Linked DNA regions of Yarrowia lipolytica. The protein of the gene in region 2 purifies or fractionates together with the protein of the main gene of each other region. This does not show direct contact. Links are inferred from orthologs where the notes say so. Each region holds a gene or a part of one and is shown on either strand. Other genes may lie near its edges.

Region 1 (3,207 bases), on a different chromosome or scaffold from region 2:
ATTGAAACGGGACCCCCGTCTCCGTGCCTCCTCGTTAATTGCAGCGCTGCTGACAGCGCACCTATTAAAGCTGTTTCAAGTGTGCATAAGGCTCAGCCTGGCAGTGCCACCTTCGCACCCACGAATAAGGTTTCCTTACACGCTAACACTGTAGAAAATAGACACGCTAAAACTCTGGCTTCAGGCTGTACAATGTGTATCCACAGTACTGTACAAGCACAAGTGCCAATATTAGTAAGAGTACAAGGAGTTTGATACCTACCGGTAAAAGTACACCTGTTGTAGACAGTGCTGTACTCCTACAAGTACGTCTGTACTTGTACAGCCCTTACTTACTCAGCAGATAGAGCCAACAACATGACGGCATTAAACGACAACACCACGCCTCTCTCAGAACACGTCAATCCTCCAGCTGTTCAAAAGGGAGAACACAATTCTAGCTACACTTGTACTTGTACTGTACTTGTACAGATATGAATGGGTGGTTTTTCCGTTTTTTTGTTTTTTTTTTGGATTATGTGGTTTTGGTGATATGCTATGTTAATTTTTCTTGTGAAGTACCTCTTTTACCTTGAAGCTCCCGTTAGTCCCTCGGCTTACCTCGTATCATTAGTATTTTATTTCGCCGAGAACCAGCGTCTATGCAATAAATAATCTACCCCTTTCTAAACTCGTTCAACACAGGGTAGATGGCTTCGAAGGCCGCGTAAATTTCCTCTCGCTGCTTGGCACCAGTCAGCACAATCTTACCCGACACGAAGATCAGCAACACAATCTTGGGCTTAACCATTCGGTAGATGAGACCAGGGAACAACTCAGGCTCGTACGACGAGAAAGTACCGTGTGAAAATGCAAGACCCTCAAGTCGGATAGGGAACTTGACATCGCACGAACCGACAATGTTCTGGATTTTGAAGTCAGTGAACTTGGCATTGAATCCAAGTTTCTGAATGATTCGGGCGTACTTCCGGCTGGCCAGCTTGGAGTCATCCTCGCTTCGGGCACCAGTTACGACCATCTTTCCGGATGCGAAGATCAAAGCGGTGGTCTTGGGCTCTCGAATACGCATAATGACGGCAGCGAAACGCTTGGGGTTGTACTCGGCATTTCGAGCATGCAATGCAATGGTTTTCAGATCAAGCCGACAATCCAGGTTGACGGTCGCAACAATGTTCTGTAGTGTGGGGACGATACCGGAGACACCAGAGTCGACCTGCTCTCGCTTGACCTCTCCAATCAGACTGGTGTCGGCCTCGGCATCCTGAGGGAACGAGAGATTGTTCTGGGTCACGAATTGCTGTGCCTGTGCAGGGTTGGTGGGGGCAGAGAGGGCATCCATATTGTATGTAGTGTGTATCCCAAACCCAAAGCCTAATTTTCGAAATTGGGAAATCGGGGGGACGCGGTCTTATATATATTCACGATCCTTCGGTAGGGTAAAAACCTTAAATGGTGTAGAAGACCATCGAAATTGGTTCTGTTCCTTAAAAATACATCATTCGCGGGGTTCTATTTTCTGGGAAAATAACAGAATAATGCACTCATATTTAGCCAGAACTACTTGTGTGCATTTCCTACCTCTAGAGGTCTTGTTTCGAGCCATCTGCCTCACTACACCTCTGCAGAAAAATTTCGACAGAGTTTTGGATGAAAACTTGATTACATGCCTGGAATTGGAAATATACGGTTAGGGCTGTTGAGTCTCACACCGATTACGAACTAAAAATAAAAAAAATCATTCTGGTCATGTGTGCTTGTAGGAGCGATAGCGCACATTTATGTCGCATAATATATATTTTTTAACGCACAGCTGGGTCCAAAAGTTACGAGCAAAATGGTCGGAGGGGGTTATACCTTTGTACTGCCTTGTTTATTGGTATCCACAGCACATGTCTGGTGCTCGGTAAGCCAAGGACACTGTACTTCGTTATCCAACTCTATTCATGCAAAGGAACTCCCACTGTTCTCGACCAGCATGGGGCCTCACAGCTTGTCCTTTGATCGTCCTTCCGACCTCAGCCCAGAATGTCGAGACCTGATCATCTATCTCGCTCATGAGCATCTTTTACAGGCCTCGATTGTGGCGCCTCTGGTTAAAACTCGCGAACACTTGGTACAGTACCGCCAGATGCTAGCCACAGGTATTCAGATGCTTGAGACAGTGATCCGCGACGCCAACTGCCCTCAGAGTACTCAAGCATACTCGGCATACATTCTTGCTCAGGTTCTCTTCAGCGAGACTGAGTGTCTGGACCGTGTGGTGTCTGTGCTAGGTCAGGGAATGATTCTTGCTCAACGAAGTGGCTTATCTGATCTGGTGCTACAGATGGAGTGTCTCAATGTGAGAGCTCTGTGTAAGACCAGCAGAAATGCTGCTCTCCTCCACTGCAACAAATGCCTCGATAAGTACCAGGGCATGTACGACAACTATGCATACCACACTCTCCAGTTGCTACGCTTTGATCTGACCCTTGACAACAGTTTGCCACAGGCTTTTGACATTTTCAAGTCCTGGGAGACCCTTCCAGACAGTATACCCAAGTCATTCCTGCAACTGTACGGTATTTCAAAGGCATTAGACTACAATGTTGGCAACTACGAAGAGACTCTACTCACCTTAGATCACATGAGAGCATTTGAGGAGGCTTCAGAGTGCACTGAGACAATCCCCCAGGTGGCCATGCTTCGATGCATGATGACTGTGTTGGTGGCTCTGCGTAGAGACTGTGACATCCCCGTTAAGGAGGCCAGCAAGGCGCTGGAAACGCTGCTTCGGTCCTTGAACAGAAAGGCCAGCAAGAGGGAGATGGTGTGGAAGAACTGGAACATTGATGGAACCATCAAGTTGGCCGGAGCTCGGGGAAGTACATTCAACATTCAGTGGGTCACACAAAGCCAGTGTACCCAGTATTGCTATTATCTTCTAGGACTGGCCGCACTTCGACACCACACGACTTTAAAGTATGGACGTGAACTACTAAAGGACTGCCTCAAGCTGTTGGACCGTGATCAGGAGGATATACCCAAGGAGCCTTTGCCGCGTGCCAGTATATCGCACATATCAGACAACACAGCGCAGAAGCTAGCACTCAGATGCAATGTCCATCTGTACATTGCTCTGGTGAATTTCAGTGGCTTGGCATACAAGAAGGGCCACCGTTCGTTTGAACGGTTTGTGACCCTTTCCAAGGGTCTACCTGAAGAAGC
Region 2 (3,867 bases):
TAATTGCTGGCAAACAACAAGCCACTAATTAGTTTGTCCAAGTGCTCACCTGCTCCTCGCTCACCACCCTGATCCGATACTGTAGCAACCATCGACTCAGGAAGTTGAGAGCAAGATCGAAGACAGGTAACCAGAATGGGCGGGGGTCCCTTCATCAATCTCACCGAGCTGAAACAGTCACGTGCTCTATGATCGTATTTTGGCTAGATCTGGTCGACAATGTTGAAACAAGTTTAGATAACACTGTTCTCACCGTTTATAAGTCAAGAATGTACTGGTAGCTTCGTAGAGAAGACAAAAAAGCCTTCTACACAGTATCAAGGACTATGCTTTAGTTGGTATGTACAGTAGCTAGAGTCCAAATACGATTTCGACCAACTGGCTTCCTCTTACTCACATGCTGAACTACAAGTACGATATCATGAAATTACGACATTCGGGTCTACAAAACCACTAGACCATCTCATCAAGGTTATAATGCTCGTAGCACGATCATACAGTACAATCCCTAGGAACTCACAGATAGTCGTATACACCCATCCTTCATATTCCTCCACCGTGATCATATAAAAAATACATTCAGAACTATCTATACACTGGGGTCCCCCTTTTCCATGCGCGTGCAGTTCTCTCTCTTGCTCGCTATCCACCCATTACTCCACCTGCTTACCCTCGAAATCCACCAATCCATGAACAACCTGCTGTGAATCGTCCAGCTTCTCAATCAGTTCATACACCTTGTCTCCCACCAGCTCCTTGCATCGATCAATCTCCTGCTCAGTGAGCTCTTGATCGGGGTAGATGGCCTGGCCCTTGATCTGTCGCAGAGCCGAAATCAAACACTTGTTGAGCTGCTCCAGCTCCAAAGTAGAGTCCGACGACGACTTCAACAGCCGGTTGTAAAGTGTATCACTCCACAGCTTCAGGTTGCCTACAATGACCACACGAACGGCCTCATTACCAAGCGCCTGAATGCCCTGGAGAGCGCCATAGAGAGTGGGTATCGGCTTGGTGGGGTCCATGAATGCCTTGAGTAGCGTTCGGATGGCTCTGGGCTTGAGAGAAGCGTAGATCTCGTTGTATTTGTCGCAGATTCGTGCCAGAAGAGATGCAGCAAAGTCACGAATCGAGTACTGAGAAATGGTCACCTGCGAGTCCTCCACAATGTCCTCATGGCCGGGCTTGGGACCAATCTTCTTCGCGAGAATCAAAGTCAGCACAGAGGGCATCAGTGAGTGAATGTAGGGGTCCATGAACAGCGTGGGGTTAGTCAGCAGTGCGTCAATTACCTGCAGCATAGTGTAGAGCACGGGCAGGTTCTTGAGGTTATGTGTGACTTTTTCGGCCACAAACTGCACAAAGTAGGGCACCAACTGGTGGAATCCGGGGTCGTTTCGCAGAGAAGAAAGAGCAGCCGCATGTTGCTTGACCGCAGCCTCCTTCTCGTCTCCGGTAGCAGTGACAACCACTTCCGAGCCGTCCATAAGTGCACCCACCACACGGTCAAAGTACAGCTGCAGCTCCTTGGACAGCACATGTTTGACGAGAGGCTTCACCTTGACGTCCGACGAGCCGTTGATGGTGGCGATCGAGTTGTTGGTGGTCTGGGCGCCTCTCAGATCAACACTCATGGCTCTGATGTCGCTGGCCAGGGGGTTTTGTGGGATGGCAGGTTGCACTCCATCGATCGCCACCCAGTGAGCTGTCAGTGATGTGGCACGAGGCACCTTAGGCAGCGGTTGGTTGATGAGCCGTTCAAAGTCCACCTCATCGTCATCCACATAGTACAGCGTTTGTCCTGGTCCGGTGATGGCTTCTCTGTAAGACACGCTTTTTTCGTTGGCCACGCCCTCGTAGCCGTAAAGGGGCTCCACGTTGAGCGCTCGAAGAGCCTCGCCCACGTCGGAGGTCCCCAGAGTCGTTCGTTTCGAGTGTCGCATGAACTTGAGCGCCTGTTCAATCACCTCGTGGATTCGGTATTCCACGTCCATGGCAAGCGTTTTGGCCACGTCATCGGGCAGATTGGAGATGCCCAGAGTCTCGGCCACGTCTTTGACCGTGTCACTGGGAGACCACAGGGTGTGGGAAAAGTTGATGGACATGTTGTGTGGGTTGCAAGTGGTGATATTGACCTTGTGATGATGGAGGTTGGAATTAGAGTTTGGAAAGTGTTGATGGGGAGTTTGTCTTCTGCGATATCGGGGGGTTGTGAGAGCGGTATATCGACGGTAAGTAGATGGAATCAGCTAAGGAAGTTTGTGAGTTGCTCGTCAAAAGAAATATCTGTCAAAAAAGAGAATTAAAGAGTGGTTATGAGGGCGTTGTATAAGGTAGTCATGGAACCTTAATTTTTGCACGAAGAGTTGGTTTTGGGGTAGCCAAAAGTCCAGGAGTAATGGCTCCTATTGTAATATTAGACATGTATTTGACTTTCACCAGAATTAAAATACTCTCCTTTTTAATTTCATTTAAATCTGTTGAAAATGGAGCAAGAACAATGCACTCTTTCGAGCTATTGTTATACTTGAAAGTTTCAACAATAGCCTCTGAAATAGTTGAAATATTAACCTCCTGTCAAGTAAGTAGAGAGTGTCAATATCTCTTGAAATTCTGGTCATATCACATTTCTACATAGATAAATCTGTAAAACTAACTACCATTGATGTATATTTTTAGTTCCTGGATCTATAAGTCCACCACTGCCTTTTCTACACTCATTTCAAATGCCACTATCAAGGTTCAATGGGCTGCTCTATCGAAATCATCAGGTGTTTCAAACATGACGAAATCTTCATCAATTTGAATTCTGAAAAATACAGTCAGTTTTTACCACTCTTTTATTCCCATCGCACTTTTCTCTTTTTTTCTCTCACTCCTCCTCCCCCCCACAGCAACTACCCCTATTCCCCTCCACGCATGGTCATGCACTCCACTCTTAAACCCGCACATCATCACTCCACACACACTTGACGCCGACTACAACGATGGGTTCGTGTTTCAGCAAGAGCGAGCCCGCGTCCACGTCGGGCAGGACCGCAGGACGAGCACCACCAGCGGCTAAGCCTGCCAAACCAGCAAAGACGGAAAACATCCCACTCAAGAAACAACCGCCCAAACAGCCAACAAACACATACAACTCGCCAGGACACACTCTGGGAGGCACAGCCGAAACGCTGGACGCCAAGGAGGCCGCCGCACGCGCCGCAGAGGCCCGGGCCCAGGGCCAGAATAAGGGTGGCAAACTCAGTCAGCAGCTGGCCAAGGAGAAGGCTAAGAACCGGACCGAATTGATGAAGACAGAGAAAGTCGAGGAGCCATTGATTTATGATTAGTGGGCGACTCATGTGATTACTGTGATTCCCGAGATTCTGCAGTGTTGCCATTGTGTTGTCTGCGGCTACATTGTCTCCACGATGCTTTCTTGTGGAGAGATGCTCAACGACTCAACAATAACAACAAGGGGCTAGGACGACTCATGTGGATGGTTACGCGCCATCTGAGACTAGAAGGATTATATAGGAATGTATTATTTTAACGATTGGTGGGGTGCAATGGTGAAGGGTGGTGATAACGGGGTTCAGGTTGAAACATCGTTATACAACGAGAGCATGAGAAAAGATCCAGCTCCTGAGAGATCTCCAAATGAAAACTCAGCAACAGTCCAATAGTGTGTACACCATGACACCATAGCCAAGTCTGACTGAGAACTAATGGTTACTCCTTAGTTATTGTACCGTAGATACTGGAACAAGTGGAATACTTTCTGCCTCTCAACCGCTTCATTCGTCAATCGTTATAATATATACATCTTCCTACTCGTACATGGACCATTCCATACTCGGTCCTACAAAGTTTGACCCCCCCTTG

What was found. The genes of interacting proteins can lie anywhere in the genome.
Region 1: the proteins of YALI1_C06870g (region 2) and YALI1_B29977g purify together in Saccharomyces cerevisiae (affinity purification with western blotting; 10 studies listed by BioGRID, with this or other methods). This does not show direct contact. The link is inferred for Yarrowia lipolytica from reciprocal best matches to the Saccharomyces cerevisiae genes TAF6 and SPT15.

Annotation. Positions count from the first base shown.
Region 1 is NC_090771.1:2,995,872-2,999,078, reverse strand, and holds YALI1_B29977g (uncharacterized protein), read right to left. Parts: upstream 1,340-3,207; coding exon 656-1,339; downstream 1-655. Other genes in the region: YALI1_B29972g (uncharacterized protein), read left to right, coding at 1,835-3,207. UniProt on the Saccharomyces cerevisiae protein: General transcription factor that functions at the core of the DNA-binding general transcription factor complex TFIID. Binding of TFIID to a promoter (with or without TATA element) is the initial step in preinitiation complex (PIC) formation.
Region 2 is NC_090772.1:684,984-688,850, forward strand, and holds YALI1_C06870g (uncharacterized protein), read right to left. Parts: upstream 2,103-3,867; coding exon 654-2,102; downstream 1-653.